4 linked regions of the Yarrowia lipolytica genome follow. The protein of the gene in region 3 purifies or fractionates together with the protein of the main gene of each other region. This does not show direct contact. Links are inferred from orthologs where the notes say so. Each region holds a gene or a part of one and is shown on either strand. Other genes may lie near its edges. The genes, in order: YALI1_D35575g, YALI1_D33229g, YALI1_E14644g and YALI1_D17899g.

Evidence for each region.
Region 1: the proteins of YALI1_E14644g (region 3) and YALI1_D35575g purify together in Saccharomyces cerevisiae (affinity purification with western blotting; 3 studies listed by BioGRID, with this or other methods). This does not show direct contact. The link is inferred for Yarrowia lipolytica from reciprocal best matches to the Saccharomyces cerevisiae genes POL1 and RRN3.
Region 2: the proteins of YALI1_E14644g (region 3) and YALI1_D33229g purify together in Saccharomyces cerevisiae (affinity purification with western blotting; 4 studies listed by BioGRID, with this or other methods). This does not show direct contact. The link is inferred for Yarrowia lipolytica from reciprocal best matches to the Saccharomyces cerevisiae genes POL1 and POB3.
Region 4: the proteins of YALI1_E14644g (region 3) and YALI1_D17899g purify together in Saccharomyces cerevisiae (affinity purification with western blotting; 4 studies listed by BioGRID, with this or other methods). This does not show direct contact. The link is inferred for Yarrowia lipolytica from reciprocal best matches to the Saccharomyces cerevisiae genes POL1 and SPT16.

The regions. Positions count from the first base shown.
Region 1 is NC_090773.1:3,553,716-3,560,363, forward strand, and holds YALI1_D35575g (uncharacterized protein), read right to left. Parts: upstream 4,046-6,648; coding exon 3,833-4,045; intron 3,749-3,832; coding exon 2,012-3,748; downstream 1-2,011. Other genes in the region: YALI1_D35509g (uncharacterized protein), read left to right, coding at 1-1,009; YALI1_D35593g (uncharacterized protein), read left to right, coding at 5,554-5,662, 6,088-6,648. UniProt on the Saccharomyces cerevisiae protein: Required for efficient transcription initiation by RNA polymerase I. Interacts with Pol I in the absence of template DNA and stimulates recruitment of Pol I, but does not remain as part of stable preinitiation complex.
Region 2 is NC_090773.1:3,320,377-3,326,501, reverse strand, and holds YALI1_D33229g (uncharacterized protein), read right to left. Parts: upstream 3,624-6,125; coding exon 1,986-3,623; downstream 1-1,985. Other genes in the region: YALI1_D33274g (uncharacterized protein), read left to right, coding at 1-56; YALI1_D33207g (uncharacterized protein), read right to left, coding at 5,099-5,818. UniProt on the Saccharomyces cerevisiae protein: Component of the FACT complex, a general chromatin factor that acts to reorganize nucleosomes. The FACT complex is involved in multiple processes that require DNA as a template such as mRNA elongation, DNA replication and DNA repair.
Region 3 is NC_090774.1:1,461,357-1,469,990, forward strand, and holds YALI1_E14644g (uncharacterized protein), read left to right. Parts: upstream 1-3,044; coding exon 3,045-7,172; downstream 7,173-8,634. Other genes in the region: YALI1_E14619g (uncharacterized protein), read left to right, coding at 519-2,141; YALI1_E14698g (uncharacterized protein), read left to right, coding at 8,445-8,634. UniProt on the Saccharomyces cerevisiae protein: Catalytic component of DNA polymerase alpha, which in complex with DNA primase (DNA polymerase alpha:primase) constitutes a replicative polymerase. POL1 has a role in promoting telomere replication during interaction with CDC13.
Region 4 is NC_090773.1:1,787,475-1,795,110, reverse strand, and holds YALI1_D17899g (uncharacterized protein), read right to left. Parts: upstream 5,163-7,636; coding exon 2,151-5,162; downstream 1-2,150. Other genes in the region: YALI1_D17970g (uncharacterized protein), read left to right, coding at 1-464; YALI1_D17930g (uncharacterized protein), read right to left, coding at 1,027-2,121; YALI1_D17895g (uncharacterized protein), read right to left, coding at 5,285-5,397, 5,443-5,575; YALI1_D17885g (uncharacterized protein), read left to right, coding at 6,610-7,395. UniProt on the Saccharomyces cerevisiae protein: Component of the FACT complex, a general chromatin factor that acts to reorganize nucleosomes. The FACT complex is involved in multiple processes that require DNA as a template such as mRNA elongation, DNA replication and DNA repair.

The sequences.
Region 1 (6,648 bases), on a different chromosome or scaffold from region 3:
GCCAGTGGAGAGTATCGTTACTAGATGGCAGATTGATCCGTTTTCCCGTGGTGCTTACTCTTGCATTGGTTTGGAGGCCACTGGTGCAGATTTCGATCTCCTGGCTCGACCTGTCCATCATGACATTTTCTTTGCTGGTGAAGCTACTTGCCGTACTCATCCGTCCACTGTTCATGGAGCGTACCTGTCTTCTTTGAGGGCAGCGTCTGAGATTCTGGACTCGCTGATTGGCGAGATTGAGATGCCTCATCCCCTCGTGCCTCATAAAATGGCTGGTTTCCGTCGGTCGTTCATGCAGCATCACCAGACCCCCGGCCAGCAGCAGCAGCCGCAGCAGATGGCGATGGGTGGTCCTCACAGAATGTCCATTTACGGCCAACCTGCGTATGGCTCTCAGCCTATGCTTGTTGAGGAGGAGTCCATGGCTCCACATGCACCTGCTGTTCATCTGCCTCAGCCCGTGATGGCCAAGAAGAAACGTCCAGCGGAGCCTTCGCCACCCGTGGACGTCAAGAAGAAGGCTGTGGAGCAAGACACTAACCAGACGCGGCTCAAGGAGCTACGTGACGAGCGTGTGTCCAAATCCAATGAGATTATGAGAGACGAGATGGTTGCTGAGATTGGCGAGCGGCCCATTAAGCCCGAGAGAGCTGGTGCGAACCCCTTCCTCATTTTCCAGAAGGACTTTTGGGACAAGTGTCGAGCCATCTGCGATAAGAAGAAACAAGAATCTTCTGGTGAGCCTACTATGCGAGCTGCTCGTAACGAGGTTCGTTCTGCTCTGGGTAAAATGTGGCGAGATCTGCCCGACTCGGAGAAGCAGCCATACATTGACCAGACGAACGAAATCAAGGCTCTCAACGCTAAGAAGACGGAGGAATACAGAATCCAGGCCAAGCGGTACGAAGAGGAGGCTGAACAGTTCAAGAGACGGTGGAAGGAGGAGCACGTCAGTGAACCGTCTCAGGAGGAGGTTGCATTGATGAAGTTGATAAAGGAGAGAAAGTAACGAGAGGTTACTGGGGGATAAAGTAAAATTTAGGATAATTGCATTAATATTAGAGAAAAAAGGTATTGCAAGATATTGGTGTTGTTTATAATGTCAAGTCCCAGGTCTCTGTACAAGTACGAGAAGAGGTTTCACATATCAACTAAACATATTCAGTTAAGGTTCCGATCACTGGATAGTGCTACAACCAAGGTACAGTGCGTACTTGTACATACCTGTGCCTAGACTCTACATCATGCTACCGACACTCACGACTAACGACTGGATCACTCTATTGCATTTTTTACGGACCGTTTTCGGTCCGGCCGATCCCCGCGGCACCAGTCTTGCACAGAAGCTCTTCTGGATCGGCAACTTCCTTACCTACGCGCCACCCATGGGAGGTTTGGGTCTTGGAGGACGAAAGATTGTGCTCAAGAAGTTTCAGCGGAGATAGAGAAGGGATGAAGGCGACTTACAACGAAGAACAGCGAGAAATAACGACACGAACTGTGTGGGGGCAGCTTCATGGATGGTGTGCGTCTTCTGTTATTGACATCTTATCTGAGCACACCAGCCACCATGCATACCCCAGATTATAGACTAATGACTTACGATTTGAGAAGATGGCAGAACGCCCATGTTCGGATATGCTGTGGATATGACACAGGTAGAGTATCGCATGCGTTGAGATTTATGAGTGGAGGACTAAAGTGGAGTATAACAGGTGGTGTCGTTTGCGCTGCGCTCTGTTGTTTTGTTTATGGCGGGAAGTTCGATGATGACTTGTTGATGCTATGTTCTGCTGTGCTGTTTTGTACGATACTTCACCCTTATCTTGTGCTACTACTCATACTCGCGAACTACTGTACATACTATCGTTATAACATCAATGTATTCTGCTTGGATAGCAGCTTAGTTTAAAAAAAGTGGACCTGGTGTGGACCGTCTATAATGTTAGCAAGATGTAGAGTGATGCAGGTGAACATCTTGCTGAGATGCATTGGGTTGGTTATCGGCACTTTACTCGTCATCATCCTCCACGTCCTCCTCCATGTCATCTTCATGGTCTCCTCCGTCACTCTCGTCTCCATCTTCACTGTCCGAGTCAAGGTCCTCAGCAACTTCACTCCATTCAATGTAGAGGTCTCCGAGAACACTTCTGGACCGTTTGAGAAGAAGAGGATCGAAGGGGAAGTAGCCCTCGAGTTGAGTAAACTCCTTCTGGGGACCATCAAACAGAGTGGCAGCTCCCTCCATGAAGGCACGGGGGGCCATGGTCTTATCCTTCTTATCATGCAGATCCTTTCGCACGATGCCTCGCTTGTTCTCGTCGATGATAGTAAAGCAGTAGGCTGCATCGTGGTGATGGGCAATCTTGGCGAACATGGCGACCACGGAATGGTTGCAGTATTGCAGAGGGTTGAACTTGGTCATGATGATTCGCTGGAAGAACTTGTCGAGCTTGCACTCCCAAACTGAGTCGCCCTCGGGAGCATCAGAGTCCAGTCGCAGCATCTCGTTTCTGAAACAAAAGATGTACATGAGACCTTGGACGACAGAGTAAAATGTCTTGAATCGCTCCATGGAGCCAGGCACGCCGTTGACTTCGGCTTCTCGTTCAGACACATATCTGTCGATCCAGCCGGTCAGCATGCTCACCACAAATACAATCTGGGCCTTGGAGAGATGTTTAGCCCGTGCAATGTAAGATGCAATGTATTGCATGGCCTTGGACCGCTTGTCCATGCCTTCTCCAGACGACAGAGTGATCTCGATGAGAGAAGCAAGAAAGGCGTCCATGAACTCAGGACATGCTTGCGACGCCTGGAAGACAATGTATTGCACAAAACGGGTTCTGTGCGTAGGCAGAAGATACGTCTTGAACACGTTGATGAGAGATGCATACATGGACACTGTTTCCGTGGTGATTTCCTCGGGGCCATCGTTGAACTTTCCTCCAACATGCATGAGAAGAAGAGACACGATTCCGTCGAGCTTGGCCAGGAGCTCTCCGACAGACGAGGCATCGTTGACTTCGATATGATCGTCATCGTCATCGTCGAGTTCATCATCTGAGTCTCCCAGAGCCAGTCCGTCGTTACCGTCTTCTTCTCCCTCTTTGATATCAGTGGCGTCATCAAGATCTACCACTTCGGGGTCCTCAGCGTCGAGAAGACCAGCGTCAAACAGCTCTTCTTCATCCATCTCGTCCAGTTCGTCTTGCAGTTCCACGTCAATCTGCACACTCTTTTCCACAACCATGCCCCACACTGCATTTCTTAGCGCAGGACAGTACTCGGTGGTGATGAGGGCGTTCCGAATGAAGTTGCACAGTCGCGCGGTGGTATCCATTTTATTGGGGAAGGCATCGAGCAGCATTCCTTGCAGCAGAGTAGCTGACGTGGGTGTAATGCTGATCATGTATCGCAGTGCTGAATGCTGGGCAGAGGCATCGTCTAGAGTGAAGTCGGCCACCAGTTGAGTCGCAACGTCGGACCACCATCGTGGCACGGCGGAGACGAGCACTGCGAGAAACCGGTAGTATGTGTCTGTAAGCGCCTGGGACGGCTGTCGTTTTTCGAGATGTAGACGCACCACGCCGTTGATGAGCTTGGAGCATCGTGGGGAGTCCAGCCGGCTGATTTCAATGGACAGCGCCTGGATCATGTGTGTGAGCTGGTCGTTGGACAGCGCGTCGGGCGAGTCGGCCTTTTTAGTAATCTGGTCGGTCAACTTGCCGAGTGGGCTGTAGTTTTGCTAGGTTAGAAAAAGAGAACATGAGAGGCGAAGACGACGGTTCGTAAGGGGGGATGTATAAATGGGAAAGACAGCATAACTCACCTTTTCAACTTCATCTAGGGCATTCTTAACGAACGCCTTGTAAACGCCTGCAGATAGGTCACCTGTTTCTGGACAAGTAGTCAGTTTGCCATCATCCTGAGGAAGCACTCCTCCCTCATCCCTTGGTTTCTTTAAAGCCATCACTTGGGGCGAATCCACCCTCTTTCTCTTCAACGAGAGCCCTCTCGACTCCAATGCTACTGGACTTTCCATCGTTTCTGTGTATCTCTTCTTTTTGTTCTTCTGTAGCGAAACGGTAGAAAGCGTTGAGATGAGCTTGAGATGGACTGAGTGGTGAGAATTATCAGAGCCTCCAAAGGTTAGCTACTGTACGCACAAACTTTTCAAAGCCTAATTCTGATTATGCAAGGTGGGCAGAATTCCATAAAATGATGCACAGGCGTTGTGACGGCCAGAGAGGGGTGACAAAGTGTTCAGTATTGTCAATATATTATTTTCATTGAATTTATCCCACAAAAACTCCTCTCTATCTCTATATTTTCGTAGATTGCGGGTCCTTTATGGCCCTCACGTGCAACAAAAATGACCTCGAAGCTTAACTTTTCGAGGAATTTTTTTGCCACAGTCCTGAGACATGCACGAGGGAGGACCTTGGAGTTGGAGCAGGTAATTGAGAGGTTGCTTAGTAACGGGTTTTGAGTTTAGGATATTCCGATTTGGGACATGCGATGTGTCGTACTTGCAGAAATGGCCAGTAAATGTCTGACTGAGGACCGCCCGCAGAAGGAGTAGTCCGAAATAAGCTAATAGGATAGTTTATACACATGGGTCGTTTCAGTGTTGGTTACGTAAACAAGTCTGGATTTCTGAGTTCGCCACCGTCTCAGTACAAAGTTCTGGGTGAACTCTTCATCGCCCCCTTCGTGCTCTTCAGCTTACATCATCGAACCCAAATCCGGACCGTTAAGTGCCAGCAGACCCTAGCCCTACAAGGTGGGGAAGCTTACATTTGCAGGGGTGGTGGTGTCTGGTTATTGACGGTCTTGGGCAGGAGACAGCAAGCAAGTTTCAGATAGACAGAGAGGCTTGCAAGACATCCACATTACATGTCCAAAAACAGTCTTTATGATGTGAAATAGTCTCTATCGGCATGGTACGTACAAGTACGTACTGCGCCCATATTATGTATGTATTTGTGTTGTTACACGCACTACCCACTGTGGCCAAGAGCATTTAGGCCCAGCCGGCTATACTTGAACATCGAACTACTAAGGTGCCAAAAACAAGCCGAGGTAGAACTGTGATTGGAGAGCTGTTAGTGACATAATCTACCCTTGCACATCTCCGATGACTAAAAAATTCGGTTATTTGCCCAATATTACATCTACATCTGGCATGAGAAGCTGTTGTGGCCTCACTCTCACCTCAGTTGTGCACCCCCCCTCGTATTTTCGCTTGAGTCGTTTTCCCGAGCCTCGGAGACAAGGTTCCACACACACAGGCCGCCCCATTTAGGCCAAGTAACGGTGATGAATTTTGTATAATTGTTGGGCCCAGGGCTGGTGATTTTGAACCATGATTCCAGCCATGTTTGTTTGCTTTTCAGGCTGTATTTCTGTGTGCTAGTCGGCACTTTTCATCCACTCCCCACGTGATCACATCGATTGGAACAGCAAACCCCTCCTTGTACTTGCTGCATATCTGTATGTATACCGAACTCTGTGAAGGTGCCCAACAGATCATCACCACACAACCACACGATGCAGTACGTTGGGCGAGCCATTGGAACCGTTTCCAAGACCTGGAACTCCATCAACCCTGCAACACTCAGTGGTGCAATTGACATCATTGTGGTCGAGCGGGAAGACGGTGAGTATGGCCATCAAGAGGCTGTTGGAGAAGTGGAGCTGATGCAGTGACCGACGGTGACTTACAGGATGCAAGTTGAGAGGGTGATAGAGAAGTGGACTTTGGGAACAGAGAGTGGGTGCAAGTGGCCTTACAGTTGTTACTTCTAGCTGGCAGTTACACCACTCTTGTAACTATCATGGTCCGTATGATGTGACCACATGTTGTACACCATGACTGTAATCGTGCCCAGGTGGCAACAGTATGATTCACAGTTGTTATGTCATATGGACAAAGTTGTAAGAGGCCAATACAACTGGAGCAACCAGCTTGTTTCGGGTTTCCTGTCAACTACTTCCCACTCACTCGAAACACTCAACACATGAACACAACGTGGTGGCGTAACACCTCATCCCCATAACCACCATATCCACACACTAACCCAGGTGAACTAAACTGCTCTCCTTTCCATGTGCGGTTTGGAATCTTTTCCCTGCTGCGACCGTCCCAGAAAAAGGTCGAGTTCTGTGTCAATGGCACCAAGACCGAGCTGCCCATGAAGGTGGGCGATGGAGGAGAAGTCTTCTTTGTGTTCGAGACCGACGCAGACGTGCCCGAAGAGCTCCTGACATCCCCCGTCATTTCTCCCTCTTCGTCGCCATCCTGGGGCCAGGAGGAAGGCGGGGATGGTGAGCCGGACTACCTTGCTCTGAACGACTCTAAACAGGGTGGCGACAGCAAGCACGGCAGATCGCCCTCGGAGGGCCCACCATTCAGATCACCTTCGGCGGATCACTTACATGAGATGGGCAGCTTCGATGATGAGAATGACCCTGAGGTGAACAGAAGACAACGTGCGAGCACGGCAGCTCCAGAGCCTGTTCCTGGTTCGTTGAAACACCCAGCCACTATCTCGGAAGGCATCTCTTCGGCCTCGTTTTCCAACAGCGATACTGATCGAACAGACACTTCTGGACCCACAGAGACAGAACCCACAGAGCTCACAG
Region 2 (6,125 bases), on a different chromosome or scaffold from region 3:
TGACGAGGACGGTCGACTGGTACCGGAGGAATGTGAGTTGGTGGGATGGTGAGTGATTCCGACCTTCCGCTGCTCTCAGGGTGCTGTACTAGTCACCTTTACACACTGGCATGGCATTGGTACGTAGGAAACTGGGAAACTGCTGATTGGTAAGCGAATGTCATTCTTCTTATAGAAGATATTTACTAAGTCACTTCCAGGAACCACAAGCAGCATAATCAGTGACTACCAGTGGGCACTAACAATGCGTCCTAGTCTCGAAAGTCGAAAATGATCACGGAGGAGAAAGATCAAACGGGAAACATGAATTAACATCACATGAATCACTCTACCAATCAGATCATGTCCCTCAGATCTAGAGCTCCTAAAGTCCTCGGTTAAAACCACCCCAGAAAGGAACCATAGTGTACGACGACAGAGCTGAAGCCAGACATGATCAAGTGGAATGAAAACTGTATCGAAAAGTGTTATAAACCGAATCTATCTACACCTCTTTGTAGCTTGTTATACAACTACAATTTCTTCTGCTATTGCGTAACTTCAAGTGTAGCTATGGGACTTGCGGAGCATTTATTAAGGACTCCAACCAACGGTTCTATTCAGTAGTTCCACTGTACCACCGCGTCTATACTCAACCGGACAAATCGCTGCCAGAGTTCCACCTGCCTGACACAGAAGAAGGGAACTTTGTATCTGGGGAACGTCATGACACTTGCATCTACTGTATACTAGACACCAGATTGATTGGACTTGATTAGGTAATCAGACGTGCTATGGTCACGAGCCAACGATTTCCAAGGTCAAAGTACTGCTCACAAGTACTTGTAACTACTGAGGCGCCACTCGCAAAGCCGATGGAATATAATTGTGCATATTAGAGGTACAACTATACGAATACGAATACGAGTACGAATACGAATACGAGCATGATTATTGATGGTGACGTCATGATAATTGTTCTTCAAAGCACTCCAAAAATCCCACGAGTAACCACTTAATCGTCAGAAATGAAAAACGATCATTATTTGCGCTTTCTCTAACCATTGGATCGCATTCTGACCCGTTTCGGTCTCTTCTTAACAATGCGTATTACCCCGTCTAAATTGAGGACATATACTCTAGACCTCAGAGAACATTCCAGGGACAGAAATTTATCCAAAGGCTCAGATAGACTGGTCACGTGACACATCAAGACGATTGATTCTTCATAAATCGACATTTACTAGTACAAGAACTTCAATGTCCTATACAGTTCCGACAGACCTCCCCGTGCGTGCCATCACAGGGCAGTTACTCAATGTGCAACTCTGAGCATTCTAAATAGCTGGAAGTACCCGAGATTCCACTGTTTCCGATTTCAGGGTGTTCGCCTCCCGAGATACAGGGTCTGGTGATGTGTTTCAGTGTCGTGAGAGGTCTCTCAGACGATAGATGTGTGGACTCTGTTTGGCTGACGGATTTGTTAACAGATTTTGTTGACATTTGTTGAAAGGAATTCCCGCTGTGGGTCACTTCTCGGTGTCACGGGACCAATGAAATCGCAAGACTTGTGTGAATTGGTTTAAAAGCATCAACTAATCAACTAATATTCATCTTCAAGATATTGGCAGTACAGATATTTGAGATATCCACATTTCAACGCGAAATACGAGTGCTGATTTTGTTGACTTTGGAGTGGGCCTCAAGTAATAGTTACTTCAGAGCTCCAGAAATGCACAGTACACTAACAATGGTCCAATTCAAACAAAATATCTGTCACTCAAGACTCCAGAGCAGCTCAGATAATACATTCTTACCAACTGAATGTGTCCCATTCAAATACATCCACCTAATCAACATTAATTCATATATCTACCAGTAGCAAATTCCTTGTGAGACTTTTGCACTCTTGAATCTGTCTCGAATCAGATACGAGTTTGCTTCGTCCGGAGCTGCTATTGTTACCCAACAAGCAATTTCCCGCGACGCGCGAAGCCGCGCCGGAATCACTCGTCATCCTCCTCTCCCGAACTGCTCTCGGCATTCGAGTCAAACTCCTCCGCCACCTCACTATCACTCTCGGCATGAAAGTCCTCATCAGGACTCTCGTCATCCTCATCAGCCGAGCCTCGAAACTCTCCTCCATCATCAGAGTCATCGTCCACCTCAGCCAGAGTGGCAGCCAGCAGCGCCTTCTCCTCAGCAAGATCATTCTTAAGACGAATGCCCTTGGACTTGATGAACGCCTCGAGACCCTCCTGCTCTTCCTTGGAGATGTTGGAGAACTGGTACTCACCCTGGGCGTTTCGCAGCTTGAGAGTCATGTCAAACGTTCGAGAGGTGGTTACCGAAGAACCCACTCGAGACAGAGTGATATCTTGAATCTCGGCAAAGGGAATGAAAACGGGCTTGGAAAGAAACAGGAAATTTCGTTCCAGGGGGTATAGATGGCCCTCAGACGCCTTGAGCGAACAGGAGACACCAGCATGGCCATGCACGGTCTTGAACGAGCCTGGCACGGTCAGTTTTCGGCCAGTGAGACCGCGGAAAATAGATCCAACCACCTGGTGAGCAGACTCGTCGTACGACTGCTTGAGACCCTTGTCGGCGTACTTTTCGGCAAACTCGGCGTCGTCGACATTGAGCTCGACTTTGATTTCGGCCTCACGCAGGAATTGCATCACCAGAAACGGGTACCGAGTCTGGCCCTGTCTGAGAGGAGGATCCAGCTGCACCACGAGAATGTTGTGCAGATCGTCGGGCTTGGGCAGCACAATGAGCCGCTGCACGTGCTTGTACTGCACCATGTAATCGTATGTTTTTCCTCGAAGTCGCATGAAGTTGGCGTACATGTCGATATCGTATCGTCCTCGGGGGATGACCAGGTAGATCTCCGACAAAGACACCACAGCCGTACCTGCCACGGCTCCAATGTCGGCCTTTTCCTTGAGGGTGTCGTAGAAGATCTGGGCGGTGGACTGGACCTCCTCTTCTGATTCGTCGTCGGCGTCGGCGTCGTCGTCTCCTTCCTTGCCTTCTTCTCCCTCCTTCTTCTCCGTCTTCTGCTTCTTCTTGGGGTTCTCATCACCTTCCACAGAAGTTACTCCGGGCACGTAGAATCGCATTTCGACGAGCTCGTCGCCTGCCCGTCCATCGGCGGGCTGCTGGAACTCCAGAGCAACCTCATTTTTGCCCACCAGGTTGGAGTTGGCCACTTCGGCGTAGGGGATCTCGAATGCGGGCTTGTTGGCGACGGAAAAAACCAGCTCGGATCGCTCAAAGTCCGTCTTGCCCCAGTTCCAACCCTTGACGCTGTGCTCGCGCTGCTCCACTGAAATGCCATAGTTGCGCTTCATCACGTTCTTCAGCTCCTCCAGGTTGTCCTGTTCAAACCCGTCAAAGTTGGCGGCCCCGCGGTTTTTCGTCTGGATCTTCATCTCGAATCCCCGAGAGCCCCGACTCCAAAACGCCGCCAGCAGCTCCTCCTTTCCAAGTAGAAACGGCTCGTCCTTCTTGGTCTCCTTCGATCCGCCCATTGACGTCTTCTGCACTGCCTTCCAGCCCAGGCCCGTCTCAACCATCCGCAGACGGCCGTGCGCCTTGCTCTGATTGAGATAGATGCCGTCGAATTCAGTCGTAGACATCGTGTTTTTTTTTGCGTACTGTGCTGTAAATGTGTGAACGATGACGATGGCGCTTCGACGTGCCGGTAATGTATGTATGGTGATTTGGACTCTGCCAGAAAGTTAAACGCGTGGTCACGTGACCTAAGAAGAGGAGGGAGGAGGATGGGGGAGAGGACAAGAGAAGCGGGGTATCGCTGTAGCCCCGAGGGTCCACCAAATTCCAAGTTTGGAGGCGGATTGAGGGGTAATAGGCGTTAGGGAGTCACGTGAAAGTATCATTTTGACGATATCTCCGCCCCAAGCCATTCTACACTGGGTCCTCATTATTGTTACTTCCATCTACACTCCTTGCTAGTTATGTACTAAATATGCACTTAATGAAAAACCCTAACCCTGAATATCCCAACCTCCCCAAGTGAAGCAGGGAAGTGGAAGCGTCAATTGGTTCACCAGACGCAAACTAGCGACGCAAACAGTGAGTGTGACAAGGCGAGGAGGGGAGAGGAGGGGAGAAGGGGAAAGGAGGGGAGAAGGGGAGAAGACGAGGAGATGTGATATAGAAGTCACGCAGAAGGAACGGTATCTCTGTGTATTGAGAGAGAGTGAACTGAAGTCAAGATGAAAAGACAGACTGAATACGACTGATGACGTGTGACTGAGTAAGTGTGAATGAGTATGTGTACATCTCTAAGTTGAGTACGTGTGCATTATCAACAGTTGCTTTCCACTTGCACATCTGGGCCGATTAATCGACTCTGACATGGCTGTACCGTGGTAGGGCATCAGAACAGACAGAACAGACAGAACAGACAGAACTTAACTTGAGCCACGTATCTCGTGGGCAGAATTCAGACTCAGTTTGATCCTGATGTTCCTCTTCTGCTGTTCCTCTTCTGCTGGCTGCCTCACTATTCTGAACTGCTCCGGTCTGTCCAAAGCTCCATAGTCGAGATGGACCTGATTCTACTAGACTGACGGGAAACTGGAAAGGACCATATAGCTGGAGCTGGCAGAATGGGCCATTCCGTCGTTAACGAAGCGTAACCGGACCAAATCTGGAACAGTCCTCCAGTATTCCACCCCTCAGTGCTCATTTCCGTACTAACGCAGTGTCCCTCTACCAGCGGTGGATGCAGATCCCCCCATCGCAACGAATCATCGCTGCGGCTTTTACTGGCATCTTGGCCTACGGCGGTATGAAGATCACCGACTATTTCAACGAGCAGGGCGACATTGAGCGGGAGGCCCAGGCTCTGGTGCTCAAGGAGCATCAGAAGATCAACCAGGCTGTTGCTAACGACCTCCGGAAGGATGAGTAACAGACCGGGAGCTTGTCACTATAGCAGCGGTACCTTCCAAAATCGCATTGTATATAGGAATTTATTGTTTTTTTTGAGTGCCAAAGCCTCTGAGCATTCGTTTCCAGTCGTAATTCATTAATATATATATCTTTGACAGTGGCGGGTGGAATTCACCGCGGAAACCCGCATCAGTTACATGAACCGCCCAAGGAAGGTACCTCTGGCAGCTCTAGACAAGAGACCGCCGCTGACCTGGCCAACAATGTTATTGGCCTTGCCAAACTTGTCACATCGAGAGTAGGCCATGGCGTTAGTGACGGTCAGAGACACAGCAATAAAGACCAGAATCAGAGACAGAAACTGGAACTTGAGCAGCGCCAGAACCGCCAAACACACCCACAAGACAGGGGCGCCATACAGCATCATCCAAAAGACCTTGGAGTCAATGGGATTTATGTACCGCTGGGGATCGGCCGTCTCGAACACCCACACGGACTCGCCCGTCTCCGACGCCTCGTTCCACCATCTCAGGCCCACCATGAGCCGTCCGGCAATGTTTTTGACGTTCCAAAAGTCGGCTGCCAGAAGCAGAACAACCAACACAAACATGAGCACAAACTTGTCTGTAAACAGCAGACCAAACATGTAGGTGAAGAGCGCTCCTAGTCGGAAGGCTAGAAAAAAGACGAGAGCCACCGGATGAGAAGATTCGGACAGACGTTGCCAGAGCGTCATTCCAACTCCAGCTTGGGGCGCCGCATTCCGCTCCAAATCCGGCTGTACGGTTGCCGCCGCAACCGGAGGCGCCGCATGTGACGGCGCTCGGCCTCCTGTTAATGGCACATCGGCCTCAATTGTATCGGACATGGTAGTGTAGTGGTGAGATAAAGTAAGTGGTGATGTGTTGGGCATTAAGGTGAGGGATTAGGGTTAGGGTAGGACAAGTGGAAGATGGGTGGGTATTTGAATGGACTAGATGGCATGATGATGGGGATAAAAGGAAGGAAGAGTTGGTAGATGGGTTTGGGGAACGTAGATAATGACACAGTCCAAGAATTGGCCCTTTAGGAGGTCTGAGCGTGGAGTTAGATGAAGCTGTCCTCGGGTGGCGTGCTGAAGTATGAAGCTAACAGAATTGTCAACCGAAGGGGAGGGATTTAGTTGACATTGGGATGTTGGTTTACGTGGAGATTTGAGGTGGTTGTAGAGGTGATTTAAG
Region 3 (8,634 bases):
AGTACTTAGTGTACTCGTACTCGGACCGGTGAATGCCGACATTACGCACGAGCTCCGATCGGATATACAGAAACAACCGAGAACCACAGTGCATACCGCAACTACTTTATGTACAGCCTTGTAGACTATGGTCGGTGTCCGAAAACCGCCTTTTGAAGCCACCATGACAAAGCCACGATGGCAAAGCCACCATAATGCAAGCCACAGAGGGCGGATCAGCCACAGAGGGTGGATCAGCCATAGAGGACTGAGAATCATCAGTGTCAAACGGCAAGTTAAGTCCGTGGCACAACTATCCGACATCTCTTGACTTTGACTTAAATCTCCATGTACTGGTACCAGTCCACATCTGCGCTCTTTCTGCGATGAATATAAAGCGGCGAAGCTGTCTGACAAGTGAACTCTGGTAAACTCTGGGGATTCTATACGACGTGCATCGATGCCGTGTACTTGGCAGAGGCTATATAAGATAAGAGGGGTCTCGGTGGGCTGATTCTGAGTATCGCAATATCACCAGCATGACCTTCCAGGACGCAAAGGACATCTACAACAACCGTCTGCAAAAGTCAATTGAGGAGGTGGACAAGTATTTCCCCGGAAGCCACAAACCCCTGCCCGATACTATCCCTTCCAACGTCAGACCACTGCTCAAGCTGCTCCATGACGAAGACTACGAGGTTGTGACGCTAGGAGGAATCGAACTGCTCGATAAACTGGCCAAGGGCGAATGGTCTGCCGTTCGAGTCACGGGTGCGTACATTCGAGCTGCCGTGTTGGCCCACAAGCTGGTCAACTGCGCGACCGAATTCCTTGCAGAGCGGGCCTACAACCGAGCCAAGTTCCTCGATGAACATCTGGCCCAAAAGGGGCCCGTTGGACCCTTCCACGGCTTGCCTTTCTCCGTCAAAGAGCTGCTGGGCGTCAAGGGACATATCTCCACCTGTGAAAACTCCTTCTTTCTGGACTCGGAGCCCATGGAAAAGGATCTGGTGCTGATCCAGCAGCTGGAGAGCCAGGGGGGTACCATATTTGTGCGAACAAACGGCCCGCAGCTCTGTAATTCTCTCGACAGTTACTCTCCTGTCCACGGTTCCACTCTCAACCCTTATAATACTTCTCTGACCACTGGAGGCTCTTCTTCCGGAGAAGGAGCTCTGGCGGCCTTTGGAGCGAGTATCATTGGTCTGGGAACCGACATTGGAGGCTCCATTCGAGCTCCTTCTTCTTTCTGTGGAATCTACGGTCTCAAGCCCACCAGGGGACGTCTTTCGATGCTCAATTGTGTGGGGTCCAACCCAGGAAACGACTTCATCAAGGCCGTTGTAGGTCCCATGTCTCGAGACCTGCGTCTGATTGATTTGTTCATGGAGAATATCATCAAGCAAAAGCCGTGGAAGGACGATGTTTCCTTGGAGGCTGTGCCTTGGGAGATTGTGTCTTCCATCCAGCCCAAGAAGCTGACTCTGGGATACACCACCTTTGACGGGGTGGCCCATCCTCATCCCCCTATTGTACATGCAATTGAAGAGCTGGTCAAGAAGTACGATGGAAAGACTGTGGACGGAGTGGAAATCACTTTCAAGAAGTACACCCCTGTCATTCCTGAAGATATTATCCACATGCTCATTGGAATGTTCATGCCCGACGCTGGAGAGCGAATCAAAAAGTGGTCCGAGAAGTTTGGAGAGCCCTTGGATGACCCTGGCCCGGAGGTCAAGGCTCTGGCCAAGAAGCTGGAAATTAGCGATGTCTTTGCCCTCAACACCAAGCGAGACAAGTATAGACAGACCGTGTGGGAGGACTGGAAGAAGCAGGGGATCGATGCGGTGATTTATCCGGTATACATTTCGCCCTCGTCTGTGATCCGAACACCCAATTATGGATTGTACACCATGCTGTGGAACGTGGTGGACTACCCGGGAGTGACTCTTCCTCTAACCAAGATGGACGCCAAGAAGGACTACGGTCCTACTCCTGAGCCTGCCAATGACATGGACAAGAAGTTCCTGGGCATGTACGAGCCGGAGAAGTTCGACAATGCTCCCATTGGAGTTCAGATTATCGGCCCTCGGTTTGAGGAGCCTCTGCTGCTCAAGGTGGCTCAGCTTCTCCAGGGCACTGTTCAGCCTTTGGGCGAGTAGGTATTTTGACCACAATTGATGTTATTGAACAGGAACTTTTTTAAAAGTAGTGATTACTGTAGCGACAGGTACATACTGTGATACAGTGACAGGTGGTGTTTGAGAGTCGGCACTGTAGTCAGATCACTATGTACACTACGTAGTAGAACTATCACGACCATGCCAGTACTACCATAAATGTTTTTTTATTTTATTTGATTTTACAGTGATCAATAGATGGTCTTCAAGAGCATGTAAAGCCTGTAATTACAAGTAAACCACCACCAGAGACTGTCACGGCCTAGGAACGGCTCCGTTGGCAACAAGCAAAGTTCACACGACGTAGGAGGTGAGCAATCACCTCTTCGACACGGTTTCAGGTAGGGGCTTCAAAATGAGAAGAAAAAAACTGAGAGCGAAAAAAGAATCAATATCATCCCAAATCCCACAACAATGCCACCCCGCCCACGGCACATGGCACGGTACAGCACCCACCAGCACTTCTACACAGTACAGTGTGTGCATTTGGATGCGATGTGTCTCCTACCACGCGTATTAGACTTTTTCAAAAACAATTTGCAGCTTAATTTGCAACCTGGTCATGCACCTTTTCGAGAGGGGGCCAAAAAGAAGTAAGCCCAATATGCGACGGCGGCAACTCTGTGGAATAATGAAAATTCAAACACAAGTATGTTTGCTGATTTCTAAGCCGTTTGTGTCTTTGTCTTCTCAATTGCTCACCTTGTTCACCCTTTATCAAAGGGCTCAGTCTCCGACTGCACCCCCAACCCCGAACTCTAACACGCGTCGGGGCTGGTAACGCGTTTTTTCACCTTGATGCGTCTCAATTAGGCTCTTTTGGGTTATCAAATTGAGACCCGTCTTTTACTCTTAACACATTACACACTAGACACATTACACAGCATGTCGCGACGAAACGCTCTGGCGGCCCTCAAGGCGGCTCGAGCCGGTGAGAAGCGAGAACTCACCTTCAACGCCGAAGACGTGTACGACGAGCTCGACGAAACCGAGTTCAAGCAGCACCGAAAACAAGAGCTGCTCCAGGACGACTTTGTGGTGGGAGATAACGGAGAGGGGTACGCAGACACGGGCGCGTACGAGTGGGAGGATACGGGCAAGCGGTACGGCTCCAGCGACGAGGACGGCTCGCCCAAGAGCAAGCGGGCCAAGAAAAACAGCGACGTGATCAAGAACCGCAAGCTCAACTTCAAGGCGCTGGCGTCCAAGCCTGTCAAGACGGAGACGGCGGCGTCAGCAGTGGCAGACGACTTCATGGACGACTTGATTGGCGTGATTGGCGGCTCCGGGCCCAAAAGCGCCGACAAGAAGAAACCCATGAACCGCAAGTCGCGATCCGCCCGGGCCAAGGAGGAGGAAGACGTGTTTGTGGACATGGACTACAGCTACGACATGGCCAGTCCGGAGCACGTTTCGTCTTCTCCCCCCGCGGAGATTGTGCATGCTGTCAGAGAAGAGGCCATTGCTGACGGCATGGATTTTGCTGATGACATGGACATTGATATGGGCGAGCCCGACATTCCTGACAAAGTGCCTCAATCGGAGTCAGACGACGATGAGGACGAGGTTGTGGTTCGACCCAAGGCCGGCCAGGCTGCAGCTGCAGTCAACATGCGCGGCCAGAAGCCGGTGGTTGCAGTCAAGAAGGAGATTGTCAAGACGGAGCCAGTCAAGAAGGAGCTGGTAAAGGAGGACATCGAAGAGCCCGAACTGGTTCCCGATATCACCAGTAACATCCAGCTTGCGACTTCAAAGGCTGGATCTGCTGATACTGCCAAGATCTCTGTGGAGCCCAACGAGGTGACCACCGAGGACGGCAAGTTCAAGTTCTTCTGGATGGAACACGCCATTGTGCGAGACACACTCTATCTGTTTGGAAAGACCATGGTGCTGACCGGCAAGAACAAGGGCCAGTTTGTATCGTGTCTCATCAAGGTTGCAAGCACCCAACGACAGATGTTTGTGCTGCCCAAAAACGAGTATAGCACTTCTGACGTGCACGAGGAGCTCGATGGAATTATGGAGGCCCGAGGTATTCGAATGCGAGCCAAGCCTGTCACTAAAAAGTACTGTTTCCATCTGCCTGGTGTCCCTGCCGAGGCCGAGTACCTGGAGGTGCTGTACTCCCCTCCCAAGGAGAAGTTCGACGTTCCTTCTTCTGGAGCTACCTTCTCCCACGTGTTTGGAGCCAATCAGTCGCTGTTTGAGCAGTTTGTGCTCTCTCATCAGGTCATGGGTCCATGCTGGATGCAGATTGATGAGCCTGACTTCGCCTCGGCTGGTCAGGGACGTATTTCGCACACTGGAATCGAGATCACCGCTAAGTCGTCGGCCAAGATTTCTGTCTGTTCCAACCAGGAAGCTCCCATGCCTCCAATTTCGATGATCTCTCTGGCTGTGCGAACCATGACCGAGGGCAAGTCTCAGTCTGTGGTTGCCGTGACTCTCCGAATGTTCCAGGACATGCCTCACGATACCACATCCAAGCTCGGCGAGCTGCAGCACCGATCTATGACCTTCTTCCGGTACCCCAGTAAGGTTGCACCTGTTGGCTTCAAGCAGATTCTGCAGGAACACAATGCTGGCACTGCTGTGGACAAGATCATTCCATGCAATTCTGAACTGGACATTTTGAGCCATATGGTGCGGCTTATTGCGCGTGTTGACCCCGATCTCATCTGCGGCCATCGTCTGGAAGCTCTGCATCTGGATGTTCTGCTGCACCGACTCAAGGAACTCAATGTCAAGGACTGGTCTTCCATGGGCCGACTTCGACGAACACAATGGCCCCACATGAACTACGGAGTTCTTGACGGCCGGCTTATTCTCGATATGGACAACTCTTACGGTCGGTCTGTGGTGCAAGGATGTCAGTCGTTTGATCTGACTGAAATGTCGCTCAACACTCTGGGCATCAAGCGGATGGACATTGAGCTAGATGCTGCTCATAGCAAGATGGTCAGCTCTGCCCGGCCTTTGCTTAGCTATCTCATGCACTGCATCCAGGACACGGGCCTTGTTGCCGGCATTGTGATCCAGACCCAGGCCATTCCTCTGTCCAAGCAGCTCACCAACCTGGCCGGAAACGCCTGGAACAAGACTCTGGCTGGTACCCGATCTGGCCGAAACGAGTCCATTCTCTTGCACGAGTTCACTCGTCAGGGCTACATTATTCCCGACAAGGAAGCCGGTCGAGGCACCAACAAGCGAGGCAAGGCCAAATTCCAGGGAGGTCTGGTTCTGGACCCCGTTAAGGGCCTGTACGACCGCCACGTGCTCGTCATGGACTTCAACTCACTGTACCCTTCCATTATTCAGGAGTACAACATTTGCTTCTCGACTGTGGACTGGGCGTCTATCCCCGACGACCAGATTGAGCCTCCTGCTCAGCCCGAACCCTCCGTGGAGCAGGGCATTCTCCCTCGACTCATTAGGACTCTTGTGCAGCGAAGACGGGAGGTCAAGCGACTCATCAAGGACCCCAAGGCGTCTGCTGCCCAGAAGAAGCAGTGGGACGTGAAGCAGATGGCGCTCAAGCTGACTGCCAACTCCATGTACGGTTGTCTGGGTTTTGAGGGCTCTCGTTTCTACGCCAAGCCTCTGGCCAACCTCACCACCTCCATCGGTCGAGACACTCTTCGAGCCACCAAGGAGCTTGCCGAGGCCGAGTCCCTGCAGGTTGTCTACGGTGACACTGATTCTGTCATGATCAACACCAACACAGACACCTACAAGGACGCCATCAAGGTTGGTAACGACTTCAAGAAGAAGGTCAACGGTCTTTACAAGCAGCTTGAGATTGATATCGACGGTGTTTTTGCTCGTCTTCTGCTCACCAACAAGAAGAAGTACGCTGCTCGTCTGGCTACTGAGGAGGGCATGGGCAAGATTGAGGTCAAGGGTCTGGATCTGAGACGACGAGAGACGTGCCAGATTTCCAAGGACGCTTGTACCTATGTGTTGGAGCAAGTTCTGGGTCCCGACGACCAGGAGACTGCGCTGAACAATGTCCACGAATACCTTTTTGAGCTGGCTGAGAAGCTACGATCTGGGCCCGTCAAGGACGAGTCAGCTCCTTTCCCCGTGGAGCACTATGCGATTCTCAAGCAGCTCGGAAAGGACCCTAAGGCCTACAACCCTCCCATCCAGCCCTTTGTGGCTGTGGCTCTTCGACGTTTGGAGCGAGGAGAGGTGATTCGAGAGGGCGACGTTATGTCGTTTGTCATCACCACTGTGGGCTCCGACGAGTCTGCCAAGGCCCAGACCACTATGGATGTCAAGCTTTCTCGAGGCAAGCTTCAGCCGGATGCCGAGTACTACATTTCCAAACAGCTGTACCCTCAGATCGAGCGACTCCTCGCTCATGTGACCGGTACTGATCCTGTCCGACTTGGAGAGGTGCTTGGCATCGAGATCAAGAAGGCCCACCAGTCTCACGAGTCCCGAGAGCTGCTCCATCCGCTGGAGTCTACCATCTCCGATGCTGAGCGGTTCAAGGATGCGGTTAAGCTGGAGCTGACTTGTGAGTGTGGCCACTCTTTTGCCTACGAGGGAGTCAAGCAGAACACCACCGAGCACGGTATTATCTGTCCCTCTTGCTCCACAATGTTCCCTCTCACACGGCTGTGTGCCCAGTTGGAGACATCAATTCGACGACACATTTCCAAGTACTACGAGACTTGGTACACGTGTTCAGATTCCGCCTGTGGTATTCGAACCGCCCAGCTGACCAACTTTGGAAAGCGATGCATGGGTTCCGATGGCCGCTTCAACACTTGCAATCGGGGCACTCTGGACTATGAGTACAACGATCAGGACCTGTACCGACAACTGTTGTACTTCGACACTCTGTTCAACATGGACAAAGCAGCTCAGGAAAATGATAAGGATATGAAGCTGGCTGTTCTGGCTGGTCAGAACCGGGAGCGGTTCGTGTACCCTCGCCAGGTGGTGGACAAGTATCTCAAGGACTCTGGACGAGCCTTTGTGGATATGGCTGCAATTTTCGGTTAATGTGGAGGAGATATTTATGTATACTAATGGACTTATTGATTATGACTGTTGTATTGTAGTTTGGTATGAATAATTGTGCGTGTACTAGTACTTGTAGAGGTATTTGTCTGGGTTCATGGGGTATTGGCTAATGCAGTACAGCACGAGCACGAGTACAACAAATTATCATACCGTACTCGCTTGTACTTGTACGTACCGTGCAGGATTGTCCTAGCTAATTAGGTAGACTTCACAACGAAGTATCGTAACTATGAACACACAGAATTAGTTGACATACAACCAAAGTGGTGCTTTTTACAGCCAAATGTGCTCTATTACCAATAAAATCAGAAGCGGGATATTTTTGGTTTCCATTACAATACAGACTCTCCCATTGACCCAGTCTACGGTCATCCTCCCTCACGTTTTCAGCTGGTCACCAGTTAAAGTTCGGAGGTTTGTGTGGTCCCAACCTATCGTGCCCTAACCCCGAGTTGGGAGGGCCAATCACCGTGGGTCAATATCTGCACATACTACTGGAATTTCTGAACAGTGATCAAGCACGGAACGACAAAAGAGTGAGTATTGAGAAGGATGAAAGCGTTACGGGAAACGAAGTGGATGTGGTGCTAAGATGAAGCGACGATACACGACATGATGTAACGGGAAGAAACGACTCGTGATCGATACATGACGGCGGAGGAGTTATGTTGTCATGGAGCATCACGAACCATGGGAGATGGGTCGGAACGGCAAAGACGAAGTGAATGGTGGATTGTGGAAGGTGTTAATGATCGATTATCGGTTGGTGTCAGAGTGCCCAAGTTGTTTAAACACAACATTTGTTTTACTGATCAATGTGAGAATGCAAGGGAAAGACTACAATAACTACGGAGACATGCAACTTTGGCATAATTGATGGGCTGTTGTTGTTTTTGATTGTTGTTGCATATGGAGAGAGCTATTTCTTGCTGTTTATCACTGTAGCTCATTCGTTTCTCCACTTGTCTTGCTCACTTCTCCGAAACACCTGATTCATGTGCATCAGACACCTTTCATGACCTGTTCTAGATGTGCGTATACAAACAGTTCACATGTCTTTGATACATATGCTCACCTTCTCACCCTCCAATGGGTCCTGCTTGTAGGGTTGTTCGTGATCTTTAACTACTTATCCATTTTCATACTAACCCAGTGTCTGAACACGTTCACCTTCCCTCGCCGACATTCAACACCAGCTCTGCTGGCCACTTTCACCCCTACAACACCCTGGGACTGGCCACCCAGAGCGCCATGGTTGGTCTTGGTGCTGGTGTCGTTGCCGCCGCCGCGCGAAACAGTTTAGCCACAGGCCCCCGAAACATCCTGACCACCTTCTCTAAGTCTGGAGGAGTCGTCACCATCTTCACCGGCGCGTCTATCGCCTACGTGTTCACTTACTGCTCTGCTGCCAACCTGCGAGAGCGAAAGGACGGCTGGAACC
Region 4 (7,636 bases), on a different chromosome or scaffold from region 3:
ATATTGACGCAGGCTCCAACTTGATTCTCATAATCTCCACTTTTGATTCCGCTCCCCAGACTGACTACAACATCAGGGTGTTTTCCTCTGGAAACTTTTCGCTCACCCAGCTGGCTCGACATACCGCGGGCAAGTTTACCAAGAGTCACAAGAGCAAGTTTTACAATAGCTGTTCGGAGCAGGTGGAATTCAGTGTGCAGCAGTCCACACAACACTTGTCTTTGGCAGCACGAATGATCAAAACACGACCATTCATCCGTTTGACAATCAGAGAGGCACAAAGCAACACTGTGGTGGCCACGACAAACACCTTTTCCGACTCCATTTACGGTGTGCATCTAGACGGAGTGAGGGTCTCGAGAGGACTGGTGTATTTGGCTGTTATTGAGAAGATGGAGCACAGCAACAACGAGCCTTATGTGATGGAGTTTGCTGCAGACACGTTGGTGACTTTGGGTCATTAGCACTAGCTAGACCTGGCCCAACTCCCCAGGTACTACAATTATATATTTGCATACCAACAACCTGGACTTTCAACGAGTCTGACAAAGAAACCAATATGATTATGTTCCTGCAGCGGGATGATAAATACGATAGTTTAAATTAACCGAAGGAGACTAATCAGAAACTTGAGCTGAAAACTCATGTTATCGCTACGAGAGTAGCACAGACAGAATAGTCAGATTACCGATAGTTAGACCTAATTAGACCTAATTAACTTTGTTTGACATTTGTTGTTTTTTCTTGGTTTTTTTTCGTTTTTTTTCGTTTTTTTTGGTGCTCAAATACAAACTTCACTCCCCGAATCACCACATCCGAGGACGTGGCGTAATGGTAGCGCATTGGATTTCGGTTTGTTTCGTGCAAACGACGTCCTCCAAAGGCTGCGGGTTCGAGTCCTGTCGTCCTCTTTCTTTTTTACCGATCTTTGGCCCGGTATTTCCGGTAGGAGTCTCTGCTGAGTTGGGCGCAGCGGCGAAGACCTGCTATCCAGAAGCATCTTCTCAACTGACAATAATTCACTTCTTACATACCCACTTGTTTAACATTTTCCTCCAATATCTTCCACAGCTCTTCGCCCTTGTCACCTCTTCTGCCTTCATCCACATCGTTTCGCAAATGTCCCTTGAGCCCCCACGGAATGAGATGGTCGCCATCTTCAACTCCAGGGGCCAACAATGCTGCCAGCTCCGTGTATGCTCCATACTTGGAAGGGTACAGGAGATACTCAAAAGCCCTGGTCATGGTTTTGGGGGTATGTCTTCCAATGTTGGACTTGAGGTTGCCTGGGTCCACAGAGACCGACACCACGCCTGAATCGGGGTGGTTCTTGGACCACAGATACGCCTGGTAGGCGTTTCCGATCTTGGATTGCGAATACAGCTGCAACGCACTGGGCTGGCTCTCCTTGTAGCTCATGTCGTCGAAGTTGATGCCGCCTGGAACGTTGGAAATGATCACCGCTGACGACGACACCCACACAATTCGCACCGAGCCCGGGGCAGAGCTGTGGGCAGTTTTGATGACCGCCGGGTCCAGACATTTCATCAGCGCGTGATGTCCCACAACGTTGGTCCCCCACTGGTACTCGTGTCCCTGGGGCGTCAGAGAGTACGGCTTGAAGGCGATTCCAGCGTTGAGAATGACGCCGTGGATCTCAGGGTACTGGTTGACAATGTAGTCACCGGCAGATCTGATGGTGGACAGGTCGGCGAGATCAGCCTCGGCAAAGTCGTAGGTGCCCTCGGGAAGCTCGTCGAGCACGTGCTTGGCCTGCTCCCGGCTGCGGCCCACAAGAACCACCTTGGCTCCCTTGTCTATCAGCAGCTGGGTGGCGGCCAGACCCACACCCGAATGTCCCCCCGTAATGACAAAAGTCTTACTGGTGAGGTCGGGGTATTCCGACTCGGTGTAGTGTGGCTGGGGCGTCCAAAGATTGCGCACCGCCTGCCTCAATTCAGTAAAGTACCATCGAGACATGGCGATAGTTGCCTGTGTCAGTGTGTCAGCAATTGAGATGTTGAGAGTCGAATTTAGTATCAGATTAGCGCAGAATGTCTCATCGAGTAGTCCACAGTCGCCAACCTTCGCCATAGTACAAGTAGCTACCATATCATACATCAATTATTACATACATAGATTCCCCCAGCTTAGCGCTTCTTTCGGGGAGGCTCACCATCTTCAGCAGCTGCCTGCTTCTCCAACTCATCCCAGTCCTCGCCACTCTCCTCCTCAGAGTCAAAATCGCCCTCGGAATCGTCTTCAGAGGCAAACTCCTCCGAGTCCTCATCCTCGTCCTCGGGCTCGTCGTCAGACACCTCAAACTCGGACTCCTCCTCCTCTTGATCCTCGTCGTCCGACTCCAGGTCCAGGAAAGACCATCCACCGGAAGTAAAAAACTCCTGGGGGTCGGCAACAACGGTCTTCATAATGGATCCCCAGTTAAGGTTGACGGGACCCTCAGAGTACGGAATCTCAACCTCGTTGAGCCAGTCCTTGACGGCATCCAGCTGGTCCACCGGAATCGAGTTGATGTGTGTAACGGGCCGGTTGAAGTCCTTATAGACAAACACCAGATCGAAGTTCTTGAGACCAAACTGGACTCGCTCAAGATGCGCCAGCTCGATTTCGCCCAGAGTAATGACCGAAAAGGGCGTATCAATGAGCTGGACCAGACAGTCGGCAGAGGGCTGGAGCAGAACGTTGGAGCGGAACGGAACACCGTGGAATCCCAGCTCTCGGAAGGGAGTATCGACATCGACCTTTCGGTCAGACGCCTCGGAAATCTTCTCAGAGAAGGCCTTGAACTCCTTGTCGAGCTGCAGCCGTCGTCTTCGTTCCTCCTGCTCGGCCTCCAGCTCGTCCTCATCTCCGTACCGGTACTTTCGCTTCCGGTTTCCAGTTTCGTCAAAAGCCATGTCGCTGGCCTCTCGATAAAACTGCACGTCCCACGTCTTCTTTTTGCCGATCAGGATGGGGTTTTTAAGATGCGCATGAATGCACACAATGAGCTCGCCCTCGGTAGGCTGGAAAAATAGATGCTTAATGTTGTCAAACAGCACGTCAATCTTGTGGTCGGACCGGATGGGCGAGACGTATCGGAGACCGTTCTGGTGGATCTCCAGAGTGCCTGCAACTCGCTTTCCGTCCGGTGCAGGACGCACAAACACAGCGTCCAGCTTGAGCGGCCGTCGAGCTCGCACCTCCACCAGCGAATCCTGGGCCACCACGTCCTCCATCTCCTTCTTCTCGGCCTCCTTTTTGGTCGATGCCTTCTTGAGGTCCTGGATCTGCTTGAAAACATCGTTCATGTGCTCCACGTGCCGCGACCGGAACGTGATGGACCGCAGGAACTGTGCGTCAGGGTCCTCAAACACCTGGGGCGCGTCCTTCTTGGAGCCTGCAATCTGGCCCGGAGACGACAAGTTGAGCCGGATGTACACGTAGTCGCCCTCGTCAGTTTTCGAGCCAGACTTGTACGTGTTGATGTGGAAGGGCACGGGCCGGCCGTTGATGGGCAGAATGATGGACTGCGACCGGGTGTCCACGTGGACCCGCAGATCCTTGAGCAGATTCTGGGGCAGCTGAGTATCTCGCTTGTACGACTCAAACTTCTTGATGACCACCTTCTCCTCGCCGTTAAGAGCACCTTCTGTGTTCTTGAACCGTTCCAGGCCGGCCTTGTTGAGCTTTTCGTGCAGGGCTTTCTGGTCGTCCTTTCGTTTCTGGTCATTGTTATCTTCGGCTCGAGCCTCATGACGCAGCTTGGTCCGGGTGATGGACGACACGGTAGCAGCCGCCTGTTGCTGTTTTTTCTCTTTTTTGGCCTGCTCCTTCTTCTTCTTTTCCTTCTCGGCGTCCTCGTCGTCATCCTCAAAGAAGTAGGTGACTTCCGACAGAGCCACGGGCGCGGAATCGGTCAGAACAGCCACGCCTGCTCGAGTGACACGCACAGTGTCGACCAGAGCAAGCGAGTATGTCTTGTTCTTGGGATCGGTGGCGGCCGAGTTGGTCAGGTTCTGGAAGCCCAGCGACACGTCAAACGTGGAGCCGTCGACAATCTCTCGCTGGCACTTGGCGTTTAGCAGGAACTTGGCGTCTCGGAAGTCAATGCCAATGCTCCAGCCTATGGTTTTTAGCAGGTGAGCCTCGAGCTTGGGGGCCTTGGACTTGATGTAGGAGACGGCGGCGTTGTAGACGTCGCAGGCCTTGGCGCCGACCTTGATGGAGTCAAACACCTTTTCCCGCAGGCCCACCAGCACTTCGTAGTTCTGCTCCTGGGCCTTGGTGGGGTTGATCATAAAGGTTCGACCCACGTTAGAGCAATAGCCCTTGTATCGGGTACCCAGGGTACACACAATCGTGCCTCCGTGGAGGTTTGCGTCGTCAGACACAGCCGAGGGCCGCAGATCGTACTTGCCTCCGGATTGAATGATTGGCATGTAGCACCACTCGAGGTTGGTCTGGTGGAAGTCGCTGCCCAGCTTGACCTGGTTCTGCGCAAAGAAGCCCTCGTCCTGCAGCTTGTTTTCAATCTGCTCCGAGAACTTTGAGTGCGACAGCCGCCGCTCCTCGTCGACGATACCAAGCATCTGGTCGGTGAAGAACTTTGTCAGGTAGGCCGTGGAGGCCCGCGACGCCACCCGGATGCTCTTGATTTCGTCGTCATCCTTGGCTTCCAGCAGGTGGGACAGCCCGACCTCAATGTCGACCTTTTCGATCCCACTGTCCTTGAGGGCAGCTTCAAACTCGTCGACAATGGGGCCTCGGAACTTGTCCTTGACCACGACGCCAAGCTTGTTGCCGGCCTCCTTGGCCACCTTGGCCAGCTTCTCCATCACCTCCTTACCTCCCTCCTTGGGCCGCACCCACACCTCCACCTTGTCGTCCTTCTTGAGACCCTCTAGATGGACGGCCTTGGACGAGTTTGTGACGAAAATGACCCGCTTGGGCGTCACCAGCAGAGCTGTGGAGAAAAACTCGTAGCCCAGCAGCCAGTTTTGGGCCACGGCAGTCTTGATGTAGGGATTGTCATCTCCACCTTTGCCAATTAGCAGCAGAACCGAGTCGGCGCCGCCAAACGCGTCTTTGTGCGTGTTCAGCGCCCCCTGCAGCTTTTCTACGCGTGTGTTGAACGCAGATTCAGAGATTTTGACCTCCATGGTGCAATGTCGTGTATAATGAATACACGGTGATGGTGGTGAGTTTGATTCATAACGCTAATGCTGGGGTTAGGGTAGTGGTAGGCGAACGTGTGTTGCGACGAGAAAAGAAGATGTAGCCATTAAGAGCGCGGGGAGGTGGTTATATAGACGGATGTTGGTTTTCTGTCATGTTTATTGAAGCATTGCCCAACTCCAGTTACCTGTACAACGCTTGGAATAAACCCCCTGGTGACTTGCGCGGTTCAGTGCGGAACGAAGGGGCACCGTTTTGAAGGACACTCCAAACGGGCTACACCCTGTCGTTGAAAATAAACCAAGTAGATAGAGCTATTGTACCGGTCACGGTCAACAAGATGGAGCTTTCCGATTTCAATTCCACTCGTTATTGCGTGAGTTGTAGGTGTAAGCATTCTCAGGTCAAGCCCAAGACTAAAGAAGTCAAAGAGCGGTGAGGACGAGATACTCTGTCACGTGACCAAAAAAGAACTCCATAGTCTCTATAACTGCAAGTTGCGCGTCGGATCGCACCATTTGGTGTCAAATTGGGTGTAGACACGTTGGACGAAAGGAATCTTTTGGTGCCCGAAAAGAAGAAAACAAGAAAAAACAAGAAAAAGGAGATGTCAGACTCCTCATCTCAACTAGTAGCAACTCAACATGGTACCTGCAAAACGACAGATAGTTTGTGCTAGAGGGCCGTGAAGAAAAGCTGGCGATGCAACAAGGGCTCGTCAAATCCAACTCAACACACATTCCGACCTGTTTACATACAAATTTCGCCAGTACGTACAGGCAGCCCAAAACTTGTACGGCCAGATGAATTAACTTTTCGTCTCCAGGTCGAGATGCGGTATTTTGTGATTAGTCAGCGGCCAATGCCAACGTGTGTTTGAGTTTTTTCCGGGAGGTTGTCGTCTCTGTACACGGTCTCTGTCACGTCAGTCTCATTGCGGGGCACTACTTGTACATGTATCTGTCTGTAACAACGGGGCTGAGTTGTGCGTACTTGTACTTGATAGCTGGGACCATGCTTGAAAAACGCCATGCTGAAATGTACGGCGTGTGGAGTTGTAACAAAGGGTGGGAGATTGAGAGAGCGGGAAAAAATTAGGAAGGAGGGCAGACGTTTATATAGACGAGATGAGGGAGTGTCACGACATGGGGCGAGTGGTGGGCCGCAACTTATATAAGAGACCTGTTCCACCCTTAAAAGTCTAGTCTACTGGGTTTCTGGACTTGGGCGCGCCAGACCCGGTCTCTGTCGGTCTCCCTGTCTGTCTTCTCCCACATGACACGACCACCCATTAGGATGCAACTTAGAAAGTCACCACCACACATTAGACATTACATCACACCCAACACACACAACACAGACCATCATGAGTGACGAGTACGATTTTCTTTTCAAGGGTGAGTGCGCTAGAGAAAGGCTAGGAGGTGGCAGATGAAGAGGGAGCTCCGGGGGACGTCTGGTTGCCCACATGCACACGCGACGGACACCGTGGACACGACACGACTGGTGGAGACACAAACACGCAGACACGACGGAGCCAGCAAGTCAGACAAAAGACGCGAAGCAATGCAGAGGGTCCGTGATTCGACTTGGTCGCATATTAACTCAGTGGTAATGATTGGTGATTCCGGCGTCGGAAAGACCAACATTCTCGGCCGGTTCACACGAGACGAGTTCAACCTGGACAGCAAATCGACTATCGGAGTGGAGTTTGCCACCCGGACCGTCAACATTGATAACAAGATCATCAAGGCGCAGATCTGGGACACGGCCGGCCAGGAGCGATACCGAGCCATCACCTCGGCCTACTACCGAGGCGCCGTGGGAGCGCTGCTGCTCTATGACGTGACCTCGACCCAGTCGTACAAGAACATCAGCAGGTGGCTTCAGGAGCTGCAGGATCACGCCGACTCCAACATTGTGCTGATGCTGGTCGGCAACAAGTGCGATCTTAAGCACCTTCGGGCCGTGCCCACCGAGGAGGCCAAGCAGTTTGCTTCCCAGAACAAGCTGCTGTTCATCGAGACCTCAGCCCTGGACGGCACTGACGTTGCCCTGGCGTTCCGAAACATTCTCACTGAAATCTACCACCGGGTCTCTGCTGCCGAGAATGTCCACGCCAACCTGGAGGACTCCCGAAAGCCCCAGCAGGGCACCACCATTTCTCTGACTCCCCAGCCTGGAGATTCGGACAAGAAGAGCAGCTCGTGCTGTTAGAGAGAGGGGGACATGAGGATATGAGCGAAGGCGCCAGCTACCGCGACGGCCTATAACCGCTTGTGACGGGTGTTAGATACGTATTGTATGATCATAGTGCTAGACACACGAGACACACTTATCACCGCTCCGAGCGTAGTGTCGTGGTGTCCCAAGGTAGGTGGGACTGTAGATGTACTGATGTAGACCCCCGTAGTGCTAATAATACTGCAGTCGTACGAGTACCATACTGGAATCTTGC